2 linked regions of the Ovis aries genome follow. The protein of the gene in region 2 interacts with the protein of the main gene of each other region in a pairwise test. Links are inferred from orthologs where the notes say so. Each region holds a gene or a part of one and is shown on either strand. Other genes may lie near its edges.

Region 1 (11,120 bases), on a different chromosome or scaffold from region 2:
GGGGTGAAGTAGAGCATAAAAGCCAACTGCAGCTAGAGATTATCATATTAAGTAAGTCAGTAAGAGAAAGACAAATACCATATGATATCACTTATATGTGGAATCTAGAATATGATGCAAATGAACTTATCTGTGAAACAGAAACAGACTCACAGAGGACAGACGTGTGGCTGCCAAGGAGGGAGGCGGGGAGGGATGGATCGGGAGTGCGGGGTTAGCAGCTGTAAACCATTAGATGCAGAGTGAACAAGGTCCTACTGTGGAGCATAGGGAACTACATTCAACATCGTATGATAAATCACAATGGAAAAATAACATGGAAAAGACTATATGATTGTTACATATAACTGAGTCACTTTGTTGTACATCAGAAACAATATTGTAAATCAACAGTGTACTTCATAAAATAAATTACTAAGCCAGGTACCCTAAAACCTGAACTCAAAGGAGAATTTTCCACTTAGCTTCTAGTTTCCTGATTGCAATGCAATTAAGACTCACATTCATTTCAATTAAGACTTGTAACCCCAGTTTTTGGTGTGGCCTTCCTATGTTAGTCCCACTTAGAGGTGTGTAAGAACGCCTAGCGCTTCTTTGTGAAGTGTCATGGACATTGCTTATGTTGGGTTCAACAGGAACCAACTTGCTCAGAGCTCAACAGCTGCCTGTTCAAGCAGATGCCGTGGTGCAGGACACCGCAGCAAGACCACGTCCGAGCTCTCATTTGGCTGCAGCAAATTCCCTTCTATAGGCAGCCACAACTGTGACTCTGGCCTCTGGAGCCAAAATAGCCACTCGAGAGGGCACGAGTCTCGGTGTGTACACGGAGTCTGCATTCTCTCAAGACAGAGCGCAGAGACACAGATGTGTATAACGGACTTTTGGACTCAGAGGGAGAGGGAGAGGGTGGGATGATTTGGGAGAATGCCATTCTAACATGTATACTATCATGTGAATTGAATCGCCAGTCTATGTCTGACGCAGGATGCAGCATGCTTGGGGCTGGTGCATGGGGATGACCCAGAAAGATGTTATGGGGAGGGAGGTGGGAGGGGGGTTCATGTTTGGGAATGCATGTAAGAATTAAAGATTTTAAAATTTAAAATAAAAAAAATAAAAAAAAAAAAAAAAAAAAAAGACAGAGCGCAGACAGTGATTGCAGCCACAGGGTCAGACCTGTGACTCACTTTCCCAACATCAGGGTGTGTACCACCAAGGAAGAGCTGGCAGGAGCAACCAGGCTGGCGTCACTGAGCACCCACTCTCTCCCGCTCCATCCCTCCCACGTGCCCACTCTGAGTCACTCTCCAGGTCACATACCCTGTGTGAGGGTGTTCGCGCAGCTTCAAGTGTCATTTTTGGTGTGCTTGTTGATTTGTGGTGGGGCGAGAAGGCAACAGAGCACACGGGCCACAGACAAAGGCTTCGTCGGCGCTTCTTGATGACTTCCAGCAAACCAGGGTCCATTCAGCGTCATCCACAGAGACTCTAGCCCCCCTAACAGAATTACAGCGCTAAGGAGTCTGTGACAAAGCTATTTAATGTGAAGTTATAAGGAAAACACCACACAATTGTTTTTCCTTTATAAAAAATTTATCAAGGGAATAATTTGCATTTTCAGAGGCTTGGTTTAGCAAAGTAAAAGACTAAAACTCATCGAAACATTTAAAAATTCTTCTTTAACCTAGTAAGTGGGGTTTAAATTAAATAAATTCTCTATTACTTTAGGAGACTGCTTTCCTAAATCAGAAAAATTGATTTCCAAGTCACTCTCTTACCTGTCCTGCCCATAACCCTAAGGAGAACTAAACCTCACCAGGAATGGCTTCTCCGGAATTCAAGGCGGAAAGAACAGGTGATACCCCAACACAAACCATATGTAGACTCTGAGCAGAAAGCAGAGTCTGAGAGATGCATTGTGATTGTACAAGTTATCATCCAATAGGATACTTCTGAGAGTGAAAGAAGGTGCTGTTAATTGCTTGAAAGGAAAGGCATGATGGGACACATAGCCACCCTAGTGATAAGGCAGTTTGAGAAAAGACATTTCCCGGTTTGCTGTGCCCTTTGAAAGTCAAAAGACTTTCCCAGAAGCAAAGCACCTTGGGACACACGGTTAGCACCATTTAAGAGGTAAACGGCCTAAGGGTGGGTTCTGACATGGAGGCGTCCTCCTTCCAAGTAACAGTTAACAAGACACACAACACCTGAAGTGGACCTCAATGGATGTTAAGTCTGGGGTGTGGCCTCCCTTTCCCCAAACCCCCTAGCTGCCAAAGGCATGGAGCTGGTGGAGCGGTCCGTGGCAGACTGCCCCGTCCTGGGTGTGGTGCTGCTTCCGCCTGCCTACATCGCCGGTGTCCCCGCTGGCGCTAGTCTTTAGGGGGATTCTGGGCCAGGTGCTGCTCCCATTCAACTTCAACCAACTTGTACAGCTCCATGGTGGCCTGAGCATCTTCCACTGAGGAATGTCCACTTTTCCCAGCCTGAACAAGGGAGGAAGAAAAGAGCATGAGGCTACAAGAGACCGTTTCCTCCCTTCCCAACTGGTGCTCTCCAACCTCAATGATGCTGCTGCTTGTGCAGTTAGCGGGCTGCAAAGGCAGACCTCTGGTGGAGCCCCGCTCATCATCTGATTTCAGGGGTTCAACTCCTACACTATGGTCTGCCTCAGTCCTTTCTGTGGCAACAAGTACACACCATATTGTTCTACATTCTTCTGTAGAAGCAGAACAGACCAGATCACAGACAGACCTTCTGAGTCTTCCATCTTCCCTAGTTCTTTAACTAATGTATGACATGTGTCTATACCCTCATGACAGGCAGACCACCCCCTCTTCGACTGCCAAACATATGAAATACGTAAGAGGCCCCTGAAGCCACTTTATGGTCATTTAGGCCACCACAACTACCTGCTTCTCTCTTTTCTTACTTAGGGTTTTAGTCCCACTTTTAGGCTTTTTTCCTTTTCCAAGTACCCTGTGGAACACTCTGGGAGGTAGGAAACAAGAACTGTTATGCCTAAGTAGAGGGGGGCCTCTCTGCCCAAAGCTCTTCCCATCAGAGCACCTCCCCCTGGATCTCTCTGCAATCAGAGGAATCTGAGTGTCAGAGCCTGGAGAGAGGCAGCAGCCGGCCTTTCCCGTCCAAGCCAGAGGTCTGGCAGCTTTTGGGGAGACGCTACCTGGATGTCCCGGTTCAACAGCTTCTTGGTGAGACTCTTCAGAGACATGGTGGCATTCTCTGGGCAGTCAGCCTTACGGTTGAGGAGGGGGATATGAGAGGTGTCTCGGGTGAGGGACTTGGGATGAACGTACTGAAGGGCTTTGAAGTCATTGTGGATGGCATGCCCCACCACTATCTTCCCTGTGAGAATCTTCAAGATCTGAAACAGACACGGAAGAGGAGGTGGTGAGGAGCACGATCCACAGATGCAGCCTCTGCATTCTAAAAGCCCAACACGGCTCTAAGTCCTTCTAGGCTCTTTTCACCACTTGCTCACTTGCCTCATCCTTGAAATGCCTTCTCCCCCAAGTTTTCTTTCACCTGAAATCCATCTCCTCTCCCCGAGGTAAAAGTAGGCATTTTTCATGGTGTAACCGTTTGGACATACCTAGCCAGTGGTTCCTTATCGTCACATTAATTTCTACCTCAATGTGATGTTCATGTAATTACCTAGTTCAGTCCTGGCTTGATACTTGAAGTTCTTTAACCATAATTGTTACGTTGGCCTTAGATACAGGCTGGGACAAATACTGTAAAGATGGGCTCCAGGGAGGTAATGGAAGCCCCAAATTATATGCAAATTGATATGCATGTTTCTGTGTTTGTTTTCTGGGAGGGAATCTATGGCTTTCATCAGATTCTCAAAGGGCCTACAAGCTATAAAAAATTAAAAATTGGGAATTAAGAATTGGCAGTCCAGCGGTTAGGACTCAGCACTCTCACTGCCAGGGGGACCAGGTTTGATCCCCGGTTACAGAACAAAGATCTCACAAGCCTCGAGGTATGCCCCACCCCCTAAAAAAAGATAAAGACTCACTTCCAATGAGGACGATAAAGAATATGCCATGAACTCGGAGGGCCATTACCAAAATGGGGTTCCAAACAGACTGCGAAAGAGTTAACAGGCCTGAAATCAATGCCTGGCCTCCCAATGGGACCCTTTGGAAGGGTACAGACTCATCTGAATGTACCTTGGTCTCATACCCCAGCTTGGGCACTGATTCTTATGACGAAAACCAGATATAGTCTAATCAACTTGGTATTTAGTTGCCCCTACAGTTTGCTGACCACTAACACCTTTACTTTGCATTAATTTCAACACACAGCCTTCATTAAAGCTAAGTGGATGTGCTGTTTCAGAGCCACCTGATCTTCTGACTCTCCCGAGCCTTTGCTCAGCTATGCCCCTGAGGGTGCACAGGATGTTCTTCACTCTTCATTTTCTTTCTAAAATCTAGCTGTTCTACCTCTGATGAAATTCCTCCAAATGACTGCTCTGGCATATGAGAGATTACTGGAACAGTGTGTCTAGACAAGACAAAGAATGTAGAGCTGAAATGACAAAGTGGACCAAGGGTGCCCTCTGGAGGCCTTCCAAGACCAGCAGCTCCTTTCCCCTTCCCCTGTTCATTCAGCGTGCCTCCAGTTTCCAGCACAGAGCTTACAGTGGCTAGGACTGCTCAGTGAATGAGATGAGAACCCCAACATACCAGCCCTGTGTCTTTTACCCCCTTCATTGCAGGCTGCCTGTTCCAGTTATCCACCAACTTTCCACACTGCCACAGACCACTTCTTGCTTGGGAAGCGCCCTCCACCTCTCTGTTCTCAACCCTAGACCCACTTCTACAAGGTATTCTCAAGTTGAACCCTTTCCCCCTGGCATTCATGCCTGCTACTCTGTCCATCATGGGTTGCTGTTTTTCTAGCAGAGTCCCAACTATCCAGATGAGGATTCCACTTGGGATCTAAAACAGATCTAACACAGTTTATTACACCAGCTATTTTTAAGTTTCCAGGTTCTTACCACTCTTCATCCCCAAAGAAAAGCCTTCTTTATCTGCTACTCCATCCACTCCAACCCTCCCTCCACAATCCTTTGGTGCCTTCCCAGAGTGATATCCTTTGCTGAAAAATGATTTGGACTTCACCCTATCTGCTTCGCTGCTACCACCATCCCTCACGCCTCTTACCTGGTTCCGAGCAATCTTGAAGGGCGTAGCATTCACCATGTGCTGCTTCCGGATACCACTCCATCTGGTCCGGTAGTCCACAATGTGGCAAGGGGGCAGGATGTACTCATCATAAAGCACATCTCCGTCGTAGTTGACAATGCTACATCGAGCCAAGGAACTGACATGCCCCTTGGGTCCAGTACCCACCATCTCACAGTCAATTGCCACCATCTTCCCCGGTATCTTCTGGGATGCCCCAGAGTATTTATTCTCTGAATGTGTCTGGGTGGAGTTCTGTGGGCCATTCCTGGGTGGAGGATTCTTCTGGGAGCCCTTCTTCTGGGGGCGAGTTGGGTGGCTCTTAATCTTTGGTAGGGCGCTCTGGAATTCCCCCAGCAAATCCACTTTAGCCACAACAGAACCAACCTTCTGTGAAGGGGCAGGAGTCAGCCAAGGCACTGCAGCTTTCTTGTCCAGGGACTGCTCTGACCCACTGCTGGAGGCAGCTGTTGTCTTCTTTGGAAGGGGAGTGGCCTTCCAAGTGCCATCTACCCTGGGAGTTTCCCCTTTCTTTGAAGGTTCTGAGTGCAGCTTAGGCACCTTGCTAGGGGGCTGCTTCTTCTTATTGAGGAAGCCTTTCCGTTCCAAGAGTCGCCGCTTCTTGACAAATTTTCGGTGCTTGGCATTTCCCTCTAATGCCTTTTTGGGGGGAGGCTCGCCAAAATCCAGATTGAGGAGTAAGGTAGACATGATGACACTGGATGGTGAGAGAACAGTTGGGAAGAACAGCTTACAGATGAGAGGAAGATAGAAGACTCATCTGCTGAATCCCACAGACCAGCATTTGGAGGTTTGCAGCATACCCTAGGGAAGAAAACGATCCTGATAACGGAGCCCATAGCCTTGGGAATCAATAAGACCCATCTTTGCAGGACTTAAGAGAGGGGAAAGACATCAGAGTAACCTCTCAAATAATGTGATATGACGGAAGAAGAACTTCATTCTGAACCAGGAAGCCTGGATTCTAGAAAGCTCCACAATTCACCAGCTGGGTGAATTGGTGAATAGGAAGGCCAGGTCTCCTCTCTAGATCTCAGTCACATTTGTAAACTTATGGGGGTCGCAGGGCCAACTAGCTGAAACAGCGATCTACAACGCCAGAATAGGTGAACTCTATCATCTACCCATGGAGGGAACGTCTAGGTATGCTCAAAGGCAGTGACAGGTTTGGCAAAGCTGATCTCTGGATTACCCTAGCATCCTCACGCGGGTCTCACGAGTGGAGATACAAATTCAGGCACTCATCTCCCTCGTTTCCAGGTGGGGGAAATCTCCACATGCATCTCACTCAAGTCTTTGTGCCACGAAAGGACCTTTGACAACACACATTGGTAGGGGAAGGAACTGAGTCTAAGGAATAGGTGCCATGCACGCGGCGGAGCCAACCTCGCACGCTCTCTCACCTACCTCCTAGATGGGTCCGCTAAGACCGGAAGCGCCAAGAGCCGGATGCGGAAGTTGGCGCGCGTCGGCGATGCCCAGGCCGGCAGGCCCGCGGGTTGGAACGCGCTGGAGGCCGGCGCCCGCGTACCCGCACGGCCCCTGCCTCCGGGAGCGAGGCCAGGGATTCGGAGTGTGTGGGCAGCGGCAGCGGAGGCGGCGGCGGGGGCGGCGTGGGTGGGGGCGGGGGCGGGAGGCGCTCCCCGGCCCCTCTAGCCCCGTGGAGGTACAACTCGAAGGTGTGAGGAAGCCGCGACAAACGGGAACTGAAACGCGCGGGACAACCCGCGGCCTCACTTCCGGAGAGGAGAGAAGTGTACGGGAAGGGGCGGGATCTGGAGGCGGGACCTCGGACTTGGCCCGCCCCTATTGGTGAGCAGCGCACTGCGCGACGCCTCTGTGGCGTCACTGCGCTGGCACTCCCGCCCCGCTAGTCTCAGACGTAGACACCTTGGCGCTGTGGGGCGTCGCGACCTGTGACGTCAGGGGTGCGCCTGAAGTCTTCGTCCCGAGCCTGGAATCCCGGAAAGGCAGCATCCGGCACCAAATTCCGAACACTTTTTCTTCTGAGACCACCTGAAGTGCTGAGCCCAGCCCGGGTCCCACACCCGCGTGGTTCTCACCCTGGTCCTCTCCTCATTGCTTTCTCGCTTCCCGCGCCACCGTCTTGGCCCCGGAATGCCCGGGGTCTCCGCCCGGCGCCTCTCTCACGAAGAGAGGAGACAGCTAGCGGTGAACCTCACCCGGGTCGTGACGCTCTACCGTTCCATCCTGGACGCCTACATCATCGTGAGGCCACAGGGATGTGGGTGGGGTGCTCCTGCTTGTGTGATTGGCTACCTAGCCACGACTAGGGGAGAATCTGGAGAGTTAGCGTCTGATCTTTTTTTCTAATAGGTTTTTTTCAGTTTTTTGTCTGTACAAGAAAGGGTTAAAGCTGGGGCAAAAACCCCGATTCTTTTTTTTTTTTTCTGATGACCTAAATATTAATATTTCTAGCATCTAGGTTGTTTTTCTAATTCTCGAGTCCAGTAATGAAGCGCATGGACATTTGAGCCATGCTGCTGCGGCAATGTTGAACTTTCCTAGGAACATGTGAGGTGTTTTCAAGAACACACATGATCGTTCATTCAGGTTTTGAATAAATTCCTGGTTTTGCTGTGTAATGGACAATTCCAACTTTGAAGTCGACTGAGTCGGACTAGAGTCCCGCCTTCCCTATCGTGTTAACATTAGGCATAAAAATTCCTCCTAGCCCCAGATCCTCAGCTGTAAAATAGATCCCATTTTGAAGGATCATTGTGAAAAATAAATGAGATGATGTATAAATGCCACCAGCATCCACTGAATTATTCAATTCCCAAACCCAGAAGCCATCCTTGATTCAACCTCCAGAATAGATACCAAATTCACCCATGTGTCTCCATTGACACTGCTACCACCCTAGGCCAAGCCAACATCATCTCTCTTCTGGACTGCTTCCTAACTGATTTCTGTATTTGCTTCCTCCCTTCCATTCCCATTTCTTCACAAAACAGGCAGACTGTTCTTCTAAAAATGTAAATCTGATCGTGACATTTCTTGCTTCCTAGGTACTCTGGATTTCCCAGGTGGCGCTAGTAGTAAAGAATTCGTCTGCCAAAGCAGGAGACCCAAGAGTTGTGGGTTCAATTCCTAGGTTGACAAGATCCCCTGGAGTAGGAAATGGCAACCCACTCCAGTATTCTTGCCTGGATCCTAATTATAGGTAATGGTAGTCACCATTACCTATAAAACCCTACAAGCTCCCTTTAAAACCTGATCACATTTCATTCTCTCCCACATTCACTATACTACATCTACACTGGCTTGATCAGGGCCTTTGCACTTACTGATCTTCCTGGAATGTTTTTTTTCTCAACAGAAAGGCAATTGAGTAGGGTGGTTAACAGCAAAACTCTAGGGTTGAATTGGTTTCAGATTCCAGCTGTACTACTAACTAGCTTCTTGACCTGGACAGATTAATGAAATGCATTAACATATATAAAATGTTTCAGATAGTATCTGGCGTGTTAAAGTATTCTGTGGTTACTGCTACCTGAATTTTTAAAAGGGGAGATAGAACTGACATGTAACATTTTAGTTTCAGGTGTGTAACGTAATGATTCCTATTTGTAGATATTATGAAATAACTGTTGTTCAGTGGCGAGTTGTGTCTGACTCTGTGTGACCCCATGGACTGCAGCACATCAGGCTTCCTTGTCCACCACTATCTCCCAGAGTTTGTTCAAATTCATGTCCACTGAATCAGTGAGCTATCTAACCATCTCTTGCATCAGTTAATATCCCATTGCTGTAGTAATTTTTTTCTTATGATGAGAACTTTTAAGATCTACTCTCAGCAACTTTTAGACATACAATATAGTAGTATTTACAACAGTCACCATACTATACATCTCCATGACATTTACATTGTAACTGGAGGTTTGTACTTTTTGACCCTCCTCACCTATTTTATTTACCCCCACCCCTGCCTCTGGGCAACCAAAGCATGCAGTGTTTCACATGTGCTGTATTACTCTAAGAGTACACTCAAACTCTCCATTATGTTACTGTCTCATTAGTGTTTTGTCTATGTGGCACTTGATGTTACTTGAAATAATTTCTTTAAGTGTAAACTCTGCAAGAGCAGGGATCTTGTCTGTCTGTTTTGTTGCTTGTATCCCCTGAGCTTAGGATAGAACCTGATGCCTAAACAAAGCTCCAGAATTTGTGTTGAACAAATAAATGAATAAAAATACATTCTGGCGGGGAATCCCTGGTGGTCCAGTGGTTAGGACTTGGCGGTTTCACTGCAGAGAGCCCAGGTTCAGCCCCTGGTCAGGGAACTAGGATCCCACATGTCACATGTGATGACCAAAAATAAAAACCAACATTTTGGCATATATAATGTCTGGCATCTGTGGTGTCTGGCACATGTAACAGTAGGTTACTAGATGGTAACATACTGATAGTGTGTGTTAGTCACTGCTGTGTTAAGGAGGCAGGTGCAAAGCAACCACACACACCCTTCAGTTCAGTTGAGTGGCAGACACACATATAAATAAGGGGGACACTGCTAAAAGGAGAAATGTGTCCAGATTGCAATTTGGGCTCAGGAAGGAGGGGAAGGCTAGAGCAGACTTCAGAGAAGTAACTCCGATGAGGAGAGGTTCCTGCTAGTTGCAGCTGGTGGCCGTGTGTTGTGTGGGTAGGGAAGAATGGGAGGGGGAGTAGCCTGTTGATTGCTTCTCCCTTTCCCCTCCAGGAATTTTTCACAGACAACCTGTGGGGCACACTCCCTTGCTCATGGCAGGAAGCCCTGGATGGACTGAACCCGCCACAGCTGGCCACGCTGCTGCTGGGGATGCCCAGGGAAGGGGAAGTGGCCAGGTATGGGCAAGAGGGACCCTGTGCCGGGGGACTCGGAGCTGAGCCCTGCAGGGAGCCATCGCTCAGTCTCACGAGGGCTTCCTGGGTTGTAGGCTGGCACACTCAGGATGCAATGGGACTATTCACTGGGGGCCTGGGCGGGCTATCTCAGGTACAGGTCGGTGTGGCCACTCACCCTGCTGGCCCTGAAGTCCACAGCCTATGCCCTGGCCTTTACCCGGACGCCTGGGTTTCAGACCCCCTCAGAGTTCCTGGAGAATCCCAGCCAGAGTTCCCGACTGACAGCTCCATTCCGGAAACATGTCAGGCCCAAGAAGCAGCATGAGATTCGGAGGCTGGGAGAGGTGAGGAGATGGCTGGGGTTCAGGTAGTATCTGGGGGCCTTGGGGACTCCTTAAGCCTATGGGTTACAAAGGTTTGGGCACCTTTTATCACCTATAGGACCAGAGGCCCTGGAAGGTCCCTTCCTTGGCAGATGTACTATAATCCTATCTTCATCCTTTTGCTGGGTTGGTGGCAGCTATAGTTGAATCATTGTCTTATTCTTGTTCTGATAATCTTCACAATCTGCTGATGGCATCACCCAGGGCTCTTGTTCTGTGGGGACTGAATCACTGTTCTGAGAGGAGCAAAGACAGTAGCCTGAGCCTGGGGTCAGCACACCCTGTTTTGGTTTCCATGTCTCTTGTCTCTCCCATGGCACCCTCTACCCGTCTTCCTCTGCCATCCTCAGCTGCTCCCTGCTCTCCTTATGAGTGTTTGCCCTGGGAGCCAACAACCAATGGCCAGGGGCCTTTGTTCCCTCTGCTTTCAGCTGGTGAAGAAGCTGAGTGACCTCACAGGCTGCACCCAGGTTGTGGATGTAGGCTCAGGCCAGGTGAGCCAGACCCATAATAGTGTGCTTTATTTTTTTTGTGTGTTTTTTTGGTCATGGGGATAAAACAACTAGAAGGTGGGTTGTCAGGCCACGTGCCCAGAGGTGCAGGTAATAAGGAGCGCAGGAAGTAAGCTGGGTAGAATTTAAGCCTCTGG
Region 2 (11,120 bases):
AACCTGAGCAAACTCTGGGAGATTGTGAAGGACAGGGAAACCTGGTGTGCTGCAGTCCCTGGGGTCACAAAGAGTCGGACTCAACTTAGCAAGTGAACAACGACAACACAGTTCAAAAGATTGCTGTAGTGGCTTCAGAATGTCATTGGGAGCAGGAGGTAGCAGGGACTTGACAGGCTATGGTTATTAACAAGTAGCACCTGCAGGGCAAGTCCAGTTTCATCAGAAGTGGTAGCTGAGCCATGTATAGGCTGTAGAAAGGAACATGGGAAGATCTCTCACAGCACCTTTCCAGGCAAGACAGAAAAAAAAGCTATCAGCCAGGATCATAACCTTTAAGGCAATGACCAACTTCCATGTTATTACAACACTGAAATATTTTATATGTGTTGGGAGTATTTACAGCATTATGGTACAGATTACAATTATGCTGTATTACAGGAAATTACCCCTAAAATAAAAAAGGAAATTCCTCCTTAAAAAGAAAAGGGAAAAGTATGGGAAAAAAGTGGGTTAGCCACAATACATGTAAAACAGACAAGAATTTTAGGTGAAAACCGATAAAAGGTCACAATGTGAAGTGGCAAGCAAAAGAACTCATATGGTCTTGGGCTACATTACTAGAAGTATAGACTTTAGAACAAGGGAGGTGAAGCATCCAGCTCTACTCAGCTCTATTTAAAAACCACGCTTGGAATATGCAGACGTTCAGCTGTGTTAAATTTAAAGAGGCATATAAGTGAGTGAGTGAAAGTTGCTCAGTTGTGTCTGACTCTTTGCAACCCCTGGACTATACAGTCCATGGAATTCTCCGAGCCAGAATACTGGAGTGGGTGGAGCCTTTCCCTTCTCCAGGGGATCTTCCCAACCCAGGGATCGATCCCAGGTCTCCAGCACTGCAGGCGGATTCTTTACCAGCTGAGCCACAAGGGAAGCCCAAAGAGGCATACAGACAAAAGAAAAGAAGTACAGACTGGGCAAACCAGGATGATGAAGGGCCTAAAACTGTCTTGTGAGGATTTCTGTTTTTAAAGGTAATGTTTAGCTGGAATCAGACCTGAGAAGGACTGTCTTCAAACATGGGATGACCTGTACATGGAGAAGAGATTAAACCTACTTCCTATGGACCCAAGGGGCAGAACTTGGGCCAAATTTTGACTGCATTTAGCAACTGACGGTCTGAATCACACAAAGAGGGAATGGACTGCATGCAGAGATAGTGAGTTTTCAGTTCTTTGGAACTGCTCTAACATGGGTTGAATAACCTCTGGAACAGAGATCTCAAGCCCTGGAGGGCTGGGTGGATGGAATCAGGGGATGACAGGACAGGCAAGGAGGATCAGAGACACTGCCCTCTCTCTGAGTTCAGCGGGGGATGCTCCCTGGGATTTATCTGCCTGACATTTGCATTCCTGGGTGAGCTGTACTTTGACGAAACATTCAGAGGCTTAAGAAAGAAAATTATGAGATGAGATCACCCCCTCAAATTCAGGTCCCCTCAAACTCTGAAATTCTTGTAACCTACGGCAACTAAGCCAACGTGTGCGTTGACTTGTTTTGAAGAACTGTGATTGATGGAAGAATCCAAAGTGACTCACAGAAATGAAATAGCAACAGTTACGTTCTTCCTACCTACTTCTTTCCATCTTTCATCCAGTTTCTTGACTCCCCAGTCTCATACCAACAAGGCATAATAAAAAGAGCTTAATGTTTCAGTTCAGTTCAGTCGCTCAATCCTTGTCCAACTCTTTGCGACCCCAAGGACTGCACAGGCCTCCCTGTCCATCACCAACTCCTGGAGCTTGCTCAAACTCATGTCCATTGAGTCGGTGATGCCATCCAACCATCTCATCCTCTGTTGTCCCCTTCTCCTCCCACCTTCAATCTTTCCCAGCATCAGAGTCTTTTCCAAGGAGTCAGTTCTTCGCATCAGGTGGCCAAAGTATTGGAGTTTCAGCTTCAACATCAGTCCTTCCAATGAATATCCAGGACTGATTTCCTTTAGGATGGACTGCTTGATGTTTAGACTTCAAAAAATTCAGACTAGTTCCTCAAAAATGTTAAACCCACAGCTACCATATGCCTCAGCAATTCTATTCCTAGGTAAGTGTGAAAGTGCATCAGTCACTCAGTCACGTGCAACTCTTTTCGACCCCATGGACTGGAGCCTGCCAGGCTCCTCTGTTGGTGGAATTCTCCAGGGAAGAAGACTCGAATTGGTTGTCATTCCCTTTTCCAGGGAATCTTCCCGACCCAGGGACTGAACCTGGGTCTCACGCACTGAAGGCAGATTCTTCACCATCTGAGCCAACAGGGAAGCCCTACTTTTAGGTACCAACCAAACAGAAATGAAAACATAAGTTTACACGAAACCTGGATATGAATGTTCCTGACAGGATTATTTATGGCAGTCAAAAAGCGGAAACAACCCAAATGCCTGTCTACTGGTGAACAGAGAAATAAAGCAGGGTCTACCCGTGTAACAGAATATTATTTGGCCATAAAAGGAATGGCGTTCTGGCACATGCGACAGCGTGGATGACCTTCAATCATTACGCTAAGTGAAAACAGCCAGATGAAAGGCCACACGCACGATGCCACTTATACTGAATACTCAGAATCCATAGTGACAGAGAGACAGGTTGGTATGGCCAAAGGGCCAGGGCAATGGGGAATACAACCTAGTGGGTGCTGGGGTTTCTTGGGTGGTGATGAAAATGTTCTAAAATTAGATACTGTTGACACATGCACAGTTCTGTGAATATACTAACAGCCACTTAACTGTATACTTTAAAAAGGGAGAATTTTTATAGAAAGTGAATTATCTCTCTCAATAGCTGTTATTAAAACAAACCAAAAAAATTCATACTGGTATCCAAGCCTTACTAGTTGTGTGGCCTTATAAAGTTAGAAAAATCTCTTTGAGACTCAGTTTCCTCCTACGCAAAAGGAAGGGTTTGAAGAAAGAAATGGAGTGAAAGATGGCAAGTATTTCCCAAACAGGAAATTGGCTTATAAATGACAGCTTTAGTCTACTTTGCAACTGTTGTAGTTTTTTCTTAGGCGGACAGAAGTTTGTGATTTCTAGCTCACTTTACAGAGTCCTAAACAGTTTGGAGAAAAAAACACTGCACACATTTCCTAGTGAAATAAGACAGCCAGTATCTAAAAGGAGCATGGATAGTCTTTTCATGAGGCTAGATACTGCCTATGCTGACATTTAATATCCACTACAAATTAAGTACGAGAGACAGTAAGGGGAAAAATACAGTGGAAACTAGAGATTTCACTCATTAGGACAACGTTTTCTCTTCCTTCCTGTTCACATTTACGACTAACTTCTATCTTGATCACACTAGGAAGACGTTAACTGCGGCAGTCATCCAAATAACAAGTATGGGATGCATTTTCTGAAGCTAATAAACAACTATGACTTTTTGGTTCCTGTCACCATCGAAAGCATGGAGTGTGCTCAACGTATGAACGTGGATGGGTTCATCTACTGAGTGGCGTAGTCCTGCCATTGTCATGGAAATCTCTAATTCAAAAAGAATTTTTTGTCACTGTTGCCAATAAAATACCCAAATGTTTAATGTAATGCTTGGTGAAATGGTGTTCCTGTGATCCACTGCTTTCATTGAATCATCATAGTCATTAATTGGGTTGTACTCATTTATATTTTCACTTAGCAAAGGCCTCTTAAAATGAGCAATTTCTCATCCAAACATCTGCTGCCTAAAACATCACCAGGGTGACACTCACTTCTACCTCAGAGACCATTCTCACTTTAAACTTTATTCATAAGCTAACCAAAAAAAAAAAAAAAAAAAGCACAGAGCTAAGAGCTTTGTAAAGAAAAGTAATTCAACTGTTACGATTCAGTTGTACTTTGAATTGATCTTATTGCTTGTTTCTAAGCTATTTTAAAGTCATTTTTTTCCTACGGGGACATGGGTAGGGAATGGATGGATTGCAAGTTTGGGATTAGCAGATGTAACCTATTATATATAGGGTGGATAAGCAACAAAAGTTCTACTGTGTAGCTCAGGTGCACTTCAGAAAAACCATAAAGGAAGAGAATATAAAAAAAGAATAGATATACATGTATAACTGGGCCATTTTGCTGTACAGCAGAATTTAACACATTGTAAATCAACTATGCTTAAATAATAAAGTCATTTTTCTTTAAACTGTTAGCCATACAATATAAAACCTGGTTTTTACTTTCTTCTAGACACTTACCAGTAAAATTCCTTACCAATATCTCTAACACACATTTAAAAGAAAAGGCAGAAATCCAGAATGTTCATGAATAGATACACAACTTTATGACTGAACTGCTATTTAGAAGCAATATGACCAGCCCCTAAACAACTGCTCAAATATCTACTTAATGTTGTGGAGGATAAAACCGTTTCCATGACTCTCAACTACATATAAGAAATTCCAGTGGCCAGAAGGGCACCAAATACATTCTATCCTCCTTCAGCTCTGAAACTCTTGGTAAAGTTGGAGAGCAACAACTTTCATCCTTTCTGCTGCAGAGGCCATTACAAGGTAATGAAGGCTCACATGTGATTAACATAAAAGTTACAAGCTGCCAAAACTATAAGACTATATACTCTCCCATGAAAAAGATGATAAATTTCGCCAGAGGTTAAAATATCATTATAGATCAACCCGGTGATCTTAACTGCCAAGGCTAATACCTGCTATTTGCAAACAGGTGTCGAATAACTAGAGATATTCGCCTAAATCACAAATACAACTGCAAAAGAAATTGCTCAAGTCGTCAAAGCGTCTAGAATTCCAAATGATTCCACCTGTACTAGAGGCACATTCTAGAAAATACACGATTTTTTTTCTTTAACAAGTTTCTGGGACCCTCTAAAAAAGCAATAAATCCAACATATAAAAAATTGCATGGGTAACTTTTGTGCGTGAATGTTCTGATAAACCATGCAGTCTGCTGTGACAATCTTCAACCCTACTAGTGAAACTAACATCTTTGAAACGTAAGATTTTATATAATTTTTAAAGATGCCATATTGATAGCTATTAATATTTCCTCCCTGTAACCAAACAAACAAACAAAACCCAAAAGTATCACCCCGTAAACAGTCGAAACACTTTGAAGCCCGGTTCCCTCTGCCTGTCCATTTAAACAGCTCTAGATTGCATGAAAGTGTTGATGGTTTCATCAAAGTAGAACGGAATGGATCTGAGTCCATGCGCAGCAAACACTGCGCACATCCTCGAAGGAGCGTTTTGTTATTAAGCGATGTGTTTTCCGAGTTCTTCATCCAGACATTTCCAAACAGATGTGAGTTTGGAAGCAGAAAGCAACACGTCCCCGCGGAGCCCCGGGGCGCCCGGGCCTCCTCACGCGCTGCCCGGCCGGTGCGCCCGCGCGGATCTCCCCGGGACCGGCCGCTCCCCGCGCGCACTGGCCGGAGCCCGGAGCGGGAGCCGGGAGCCGGGAGCCGCGAGCCGCGCCGGGGCGGGGGCGGGGGCGGGGGCGGGGGCGCGGCGAGGCGCGGGCGGCCCGGGGGCTCGGCAGCCCAGCACAATGCGCCCGCGGCGGCGGGAACCGCGCGCCCCTCCGCAGCAACTTTGCGCGGCCTCCCCGGCCGCCCCGGCCTCGCCCCTCGGCCCGCTCCGCGCCGCGGCCCCCCGGCCCGCCCCGGCCGCCGCCCCTCCTCACCGTTGCAGAACTGGAGCAGCGAGGACGTGTCGTACAGGCTGCTGTAGCTCGAGAAGCCGTCCTCCATGCTGAGGCCGCCGGGCAGTGCCCGCTCCCCCGGCCCGGCCGCGCCGCCGCCCGCTCACCCCCACACTGAGCCGCGCCGAGCCGCGGCCGGCGCTGGCGCTGGGGCCGGCCCTGCCGTGGCGGCGGCCGCCGCCGGTTACCATGGCAACCCCGGGCCCGCCGCCGCGGCCGCGCGAGCCGGGCGCCCGCTCCGCCCGCCAGGGGGCGGCCTCGGCGGGGGGACGTGGCCGGGCGGGGCCGGGGCGGGGCTGGGGCGCCGGGGAGCCGAGGGCGGCGCGCGGCCGGGGCGGGGGGGTGCCGCGGCCGGGCCCCGCCTCCCCGCGCGGCCGCCGGCTCCGGGGTTGCGGGGGGACGCGCTGGGACAAAGGCGAAGCGGCGGCGGCGGCGCGGGAGGGGCCGCGCGGGGAGCGGGGGAGTCGCACCCGCACCCCACCCCCGGCCCCGGCCGGGGCAGCCCCTCCCGCGGCCGCCGGCGCCCGCGCTCCCCCGGGGGCGTTGTCCCTGCGCGCCCCGCGGGCGGCTCCAGGACCAAACATGGACAACTCGCGGGCCCATCTCGGCCGGGTGTCCACGTCGGAGCAGCTCCACTTCTGGCCACGTCCTGCCAGGCGCGCCCCTCTCTCCGCGCGTTCTTCCGCCGCGGCCAGGCCCTGCCTCGAGTGAGAATCGGCGCCGGGCTGGTGACTCGGCTCGAACCGATGCGGCTTCCCACGTCCAGAAGGGGCCCTCCAGATGTCAGGCTGGAAAGGCCGGGGTCTTTAAGGGGAGCTAAAACATCTGCCGGGGTCCCTCCCACCCCTGATCAGCCCCTGGGGTGGCGGGGAGATTTGTCACATAAGACACTTGTTAACTTGCTACAGGACCCACGGAAATCTCTACGTACTCTATCTCAGAGAGACAGGGAGGCGGGACAAAGTACCACAGAAAGAAGGAAGCGCGCAAATCCACGGGGTTGTCATGTGGATAACCCTAACCCTAACCCTGAGCATAGTGCCAGGCACTGACCTGGACTGAAGTGAAGATGCTCGCACGTGACAAGTGAGAGAGAGTGCGAGTTTGACGATCCTCTGACTTAGTCCAGGAGTTGGCCTTAGTCCGGGAGGCCTGGTGCGCTGCCATTCATGGGGTCGCAGAGAGTCGGACTCGACTGAGCGACTGAACTGGATTGAACTGAACTGGCTTTTTCCAGAATAGACGGTGTAACATTTTTGCTCCTGGTTACACAGTAGTTACAATTCACTTACATGTTCAATTCTGACTGGTTTCCAGTTGTAGGCATTAGCTCCTGTGCTCTGTGCTGTGCTTGGTCGCTCAATCGTGTCCGAGTCTTTGCGACCCCAGGACTGTAGGCCGCCAGGCTCTTCTGTCCATGGGCTTCTCCAGGCAAGAATACTGGAGTGGGCTGTCATGCCCTCCTCCAGGGGAATCTTCCCAACCCAGGGATCGAACCCAGCTCTTGCGCATTGCAGGCGGATTCTTTACTCTCTGAGACTCCAGGGAAGCTCAGGGTTGAACACAAGTAGGTGAAATGAGAACTGAGTAGAAAGTTACTATTAGGAAAACCTGGGGGGCCTTGCTGGGGTTCAGAGGTGGATGGGGACCTCTCTTTGCAAAAGCAGAGGGCAGGGTCACGGATGGGACCCTGCAGCTCTGTGCCTGGCACATGGGTTAGCAGGACTGGCATTAGATGCTGTGGATAGACGGGAAAGGTTGAAGCCCCGTCCTGGTCAAGAAGACCAAGAACAGAAGACCGCACGGATTGCTAAGAGGAAAAGTACACTGGGATGGGTGTGGAATGGGGTGGGGTGGTGGCCTGACCGTCAAGGGCCACAGGTGCTGTGGGTTTAACTGTGACCTGGGGTTGGAAGGACAGGGTTAATGACTGTGGAGGAAGCAAGCAGCAGGGGCTGCTGACAGGCCCTTGGGCTGACCTGCTGTGAGCGGACAGTCTGTATTCAGACAGTGGGGAAATGAGAGTGGCCTGAGCTAAGAGAGAGCCAGCAGGGCAGCCTGAGCCAGACCCGGCAGGAGACAGAGGGAGGCAGGAGGCTTGCATGCCAGCAGGTGGCTGACACCAGCAGTGTTGGAGATGAGCCTGATGCTGAAGCTGCAACTCCAATACTTTGGCCACCTGATGTGAAGAGCTGACTCATTGGAAAAGACCCTGATGCTGGGAGGGATTGGGGGCAGGAAGAGAAGGGGACGACAGAGGATGAGATGGCTGGATGGCATCACTGACTCGATGGACATGAGTGTGAGCAAACTCCAGGAGTTGGTGATGGACAGGGAAGCCTGGCCCGCTGCAGTCCGTGGGGTCGCAAAGAGTCGGACACAACTGAGCGATTGAACTGAACTGAGTGTGAATCAGACCACAGGGGCCAGGGCCTGGAGCTAGAGCACCCCAGGGTGTCTGCAGCTCTCTGGAAAGGAGCACTCAGAGCCCAGACAGTGAGAGGGAAGAAAGAAGCTGAGAGATGGGCCGGAGGGAACCTGCTCTAGGACGATACCGCTGGAGAGGCAGGAAGGCCAAGCACCAGAAGACAGCAGACCTCCCACTAGAAATGCCCTGTAGCAACTGGGGATGCAGACCAGCTGGACAGGGAAAGAATGAGAGGTGGGAATTGTCTGCAAAGAAGCTGTAGCAGGAACACTCTAAAGGAGAGGATGGAGGGTGGGAAGGGAGCTGGACAGAGCCTTGGAAAGGGAGGAGAGAAGGAAATTCCGAAGGAGCTGAGAGGCCGGACATCAGCCTAGTGGGCTGTCTCATTAAGCAAAGAGCACAGAAAGGTGCACAGAGGTGGGCCTTTCCCGAGGTTCTCTGCGGGACAAGTCAAGGGGGATGAGCCTGGGCAAAGGGCTTCGATCTGGTGGTAGAGGGCCCCCGGGTGACTTGGAGCACCTTGGTGAAGCAGTGGGGACCAGAGCCAAGCTGCTAGACATCACAAGGAGAGCACATAGAGACTTCCCTGGTGGCTCAGTGGCTGAGACTCCACGTATCCACTGCAGGGGGCATGGGTTTGATTCCTGGCTGGGAACCAAGATCCTGCAAGGTACACAGTACAGTCAAAAAAAAAAAGGGCTAAAATTTCAAGAGAGAGAAAAAATGATCAATGTTGCCTTTAATTTTCCACTTCAGACGATGCAAAATATGTAAATTCTTTTGATCAGTGTAAATTGTTCAGTTCAGTTCAGTTGCTCAGTCATGTCCGACTCTTTGCGACCCCATGAATTGCAGCACGCCAGGCCTCCCTGTCCATCACCAACTCCCGGAGTTCACTCAGACTCACGTCCATTGAGTCAGTGATGCCATCCAGCCATCTCATCCTGGGTCATCCCGTTCTCCTCCTGCCCCCAATCCCTCCCAGCATCAGGGTCTTTTCCAATGAGTCAACTCTTCGCATGAGGTGGCCAAAGTACTGGAGCTTCAGCTTCAGCATCAGTCCTTCCAATGAACACCCAGGACTGACCTCCTTTAGGATGGACCGCTCAAAAAAAGAACAAGAGAATGCTTATAGATGCACGTTTCAGAACTTGGACAGAGAAAAGAAATAGAGGCCAAATATAGAGGGCAGAGGTGGCAGAAGAGTGACATGAAGCCCCTACCCCAACCCAGTATGGGCGGACCCTATGCATCCCAAAGGCAGGTGTTGAGGCTTTTTTGAATTTATTTTTTAGTTGGAGGAAAGTTGCTTGACAGTTGTGTTGGCTTCTCCCATACAGCAATGCAAATCAGTCGTAACTTTATACATCCCCTCCCTCTTAAGCCTCCCAGAGAGGGGCTTCTGAAGGCTGGGACTTAACACAGGTGCACATTTGAACTTGGCGCTTCTCTGTTTTCTCTTTTCCCATCTTTCTCCCCTTCCAGTCTGACCTTTATACTGTTGCCACTCCACTTTGAGATTTTATACATTAGGATACTTTGGATAATTAGTGTTTAGAAACTAATGTGTGGCATTCTCTGGAAAGGGAGTGATAATCATGAATAAATTATTAAAAGATGATTCTCTTTAAGATGGTTAGCATTCCTGATATATAATCTGAAAGATATGATATCTGGTGGCCCCAAAGCAGAAAGGTTGGGGAGTAAAGAAAATTCAGAAGTGGGACAGGAGAAAAATTGAGCTGGAGATTTTCTTAGAGGATTTTACTTCCAATGGAACAAAATGACAAATAACAAGAACACAGCCCACTGCTCTGAGATGATAAAGGTCATTATCACCCTCTTAACCTAGAGTATTCAACTGCTGTGTTTTTCCCCACAATGGTAAAAGCTTACTCTAACAAAAGCAAATTTTAGTATAATCACAAGGACATGCATGTTCAATCAACTAAGTATAATCTACACAGCATTTTAAAAAGATCTGTGGAGGAAAAAAAAAAGAGAAAGTTCAAGAAAAAAAGTCTCTGAAAACTTAATTAATAATGTGAGATTTTGCCCCCAAACATTTTAACAGACTGTTATTCCACGTCATTTTGAGATAATTTATGGCTCGAGTCCAAAACATATTGTTGTTGTAATAAATGATGCATGCTCTCTAGGACAATATAACCATAGCATTCCATGACATTAATAGCAGCATTTGTACAACATGTGAAGAAAGAAAGAAAAATGGGAGCTCTGTAGCCTTTATTCATGGAAAAGTAATAAAGAAAAATTACCCAAAAATGGAGAGCCTTGTGCACCTATAGTTTAATTCAACATTCCTCTGAAAATAGTTCTACGGTTCTAGACACCATGCTTGGCGTTGGGGATACAGCGAAAAAAAAAAAAAAACAAACCAAAACCACAGTGCACTCTAAACTGAAAGTGTTACAAAGTTAATTTAAAGTCACATCAGCACTTTGAAACAGAATCAACTACAATTAAAAAAAAAAAAAAGAAAGAAAAGAGAAGCAGAAAATTCCATTCTGAGTGTATACCCAAAGAAACTGAAAGCAGAGTCTCAAATAGATGTCTGTACACCCGTGTTTACAGAAGCATCATTCACAGCGGGCAAAATGGGGAAGCAACCCATTGTCCACGGATCAATGGAGAGATAAAATGTGGTCTATCCATACAATGGAATATGATGTACTCTTGAAAGAAAGGAAACTCTGACACGTGCTACCACACAGATGAATCTCAAGGACATTATGCTGAGTCAAATAAGCCAGTCACAAAAAGCCAGTCACAAATGCGGGATGATTCCACTTACATGAGGTCCCTGCTTGTGTGAGTGCTAAGTCGCTTCAGTGGCGTCCGACTCTTTGTGACCCTATGGCCTGCAGCCTGCCAGGCTCCTCTGTGCATGGGATTCTCCAGGCAAGAGTCCTGGAGTGGGTTGCCATGCGGCCCTCCAGGGGACCTTGC

What was found.
Region 1: the proteins of EML1 (region 2) and ISG20L2 interact in binary tests that used the Homo sapiens proteins (3 or more experiments, as listed by UniProt). The two-hybrid records come from large-scale screens. The link is inferred for Ovis aries from reciprocal best matches to the Homo sapiens genes EML1 and ISG20L2.

What each region holds. Positions count from the first base shown.
Region 1 is NC_056054.1:106,682,946-106,694,065, forward strand, and holds ISG20L2 (interferon-stimulated 20 kDa exonuclease-like 2), read right to left. Parts: upstream 6,663-11,120; 5' UTR 6,438-6,662; coding exon 6,430-6,437; intron 6,042-6,429; exon of another isoform or gene 5,935-6,041; coding exon 5,196-5,934; intron 3,386-5,195; coding exon 3,185-3,385; intron 2,487-3,184; coding exon 2,373-2,486; 3' UTR 1,523-2,372; downstream 1-1,522. Other genes in the region: METTL25B (methyltransferase-like protein 25B), read left to right, coding at 7,356-7,466, 9,964-10,088, 10,240-10,432, 10,903-10,965. UniProt on the Homo sapiens protein: 3'-> 5'-exoribonuclease involved in ribosome biogenesis in the processing of the 12S pre-rRNA. Displays a strong specificity for a 3'-end containing a free hydroxyl group.
Region 2 is NC_056071.1:62,418,604-62,429,723, reverse strand, and holds the start of EML1 (echinoderm microtubule-associated protein-like 1), read right to left. Parts: upstream 5,839-11,120; 5' UTR 5,772-5,838; coding exon 5,705-5,771; intron 1-5,704. UniProt on the Homo sapiens protein: Modulates the assembly and organization of the microtubule cytoskeleton, and probably plays a role in regulating the orientation of the mitotic spindle and the orientation of the plane of cell division.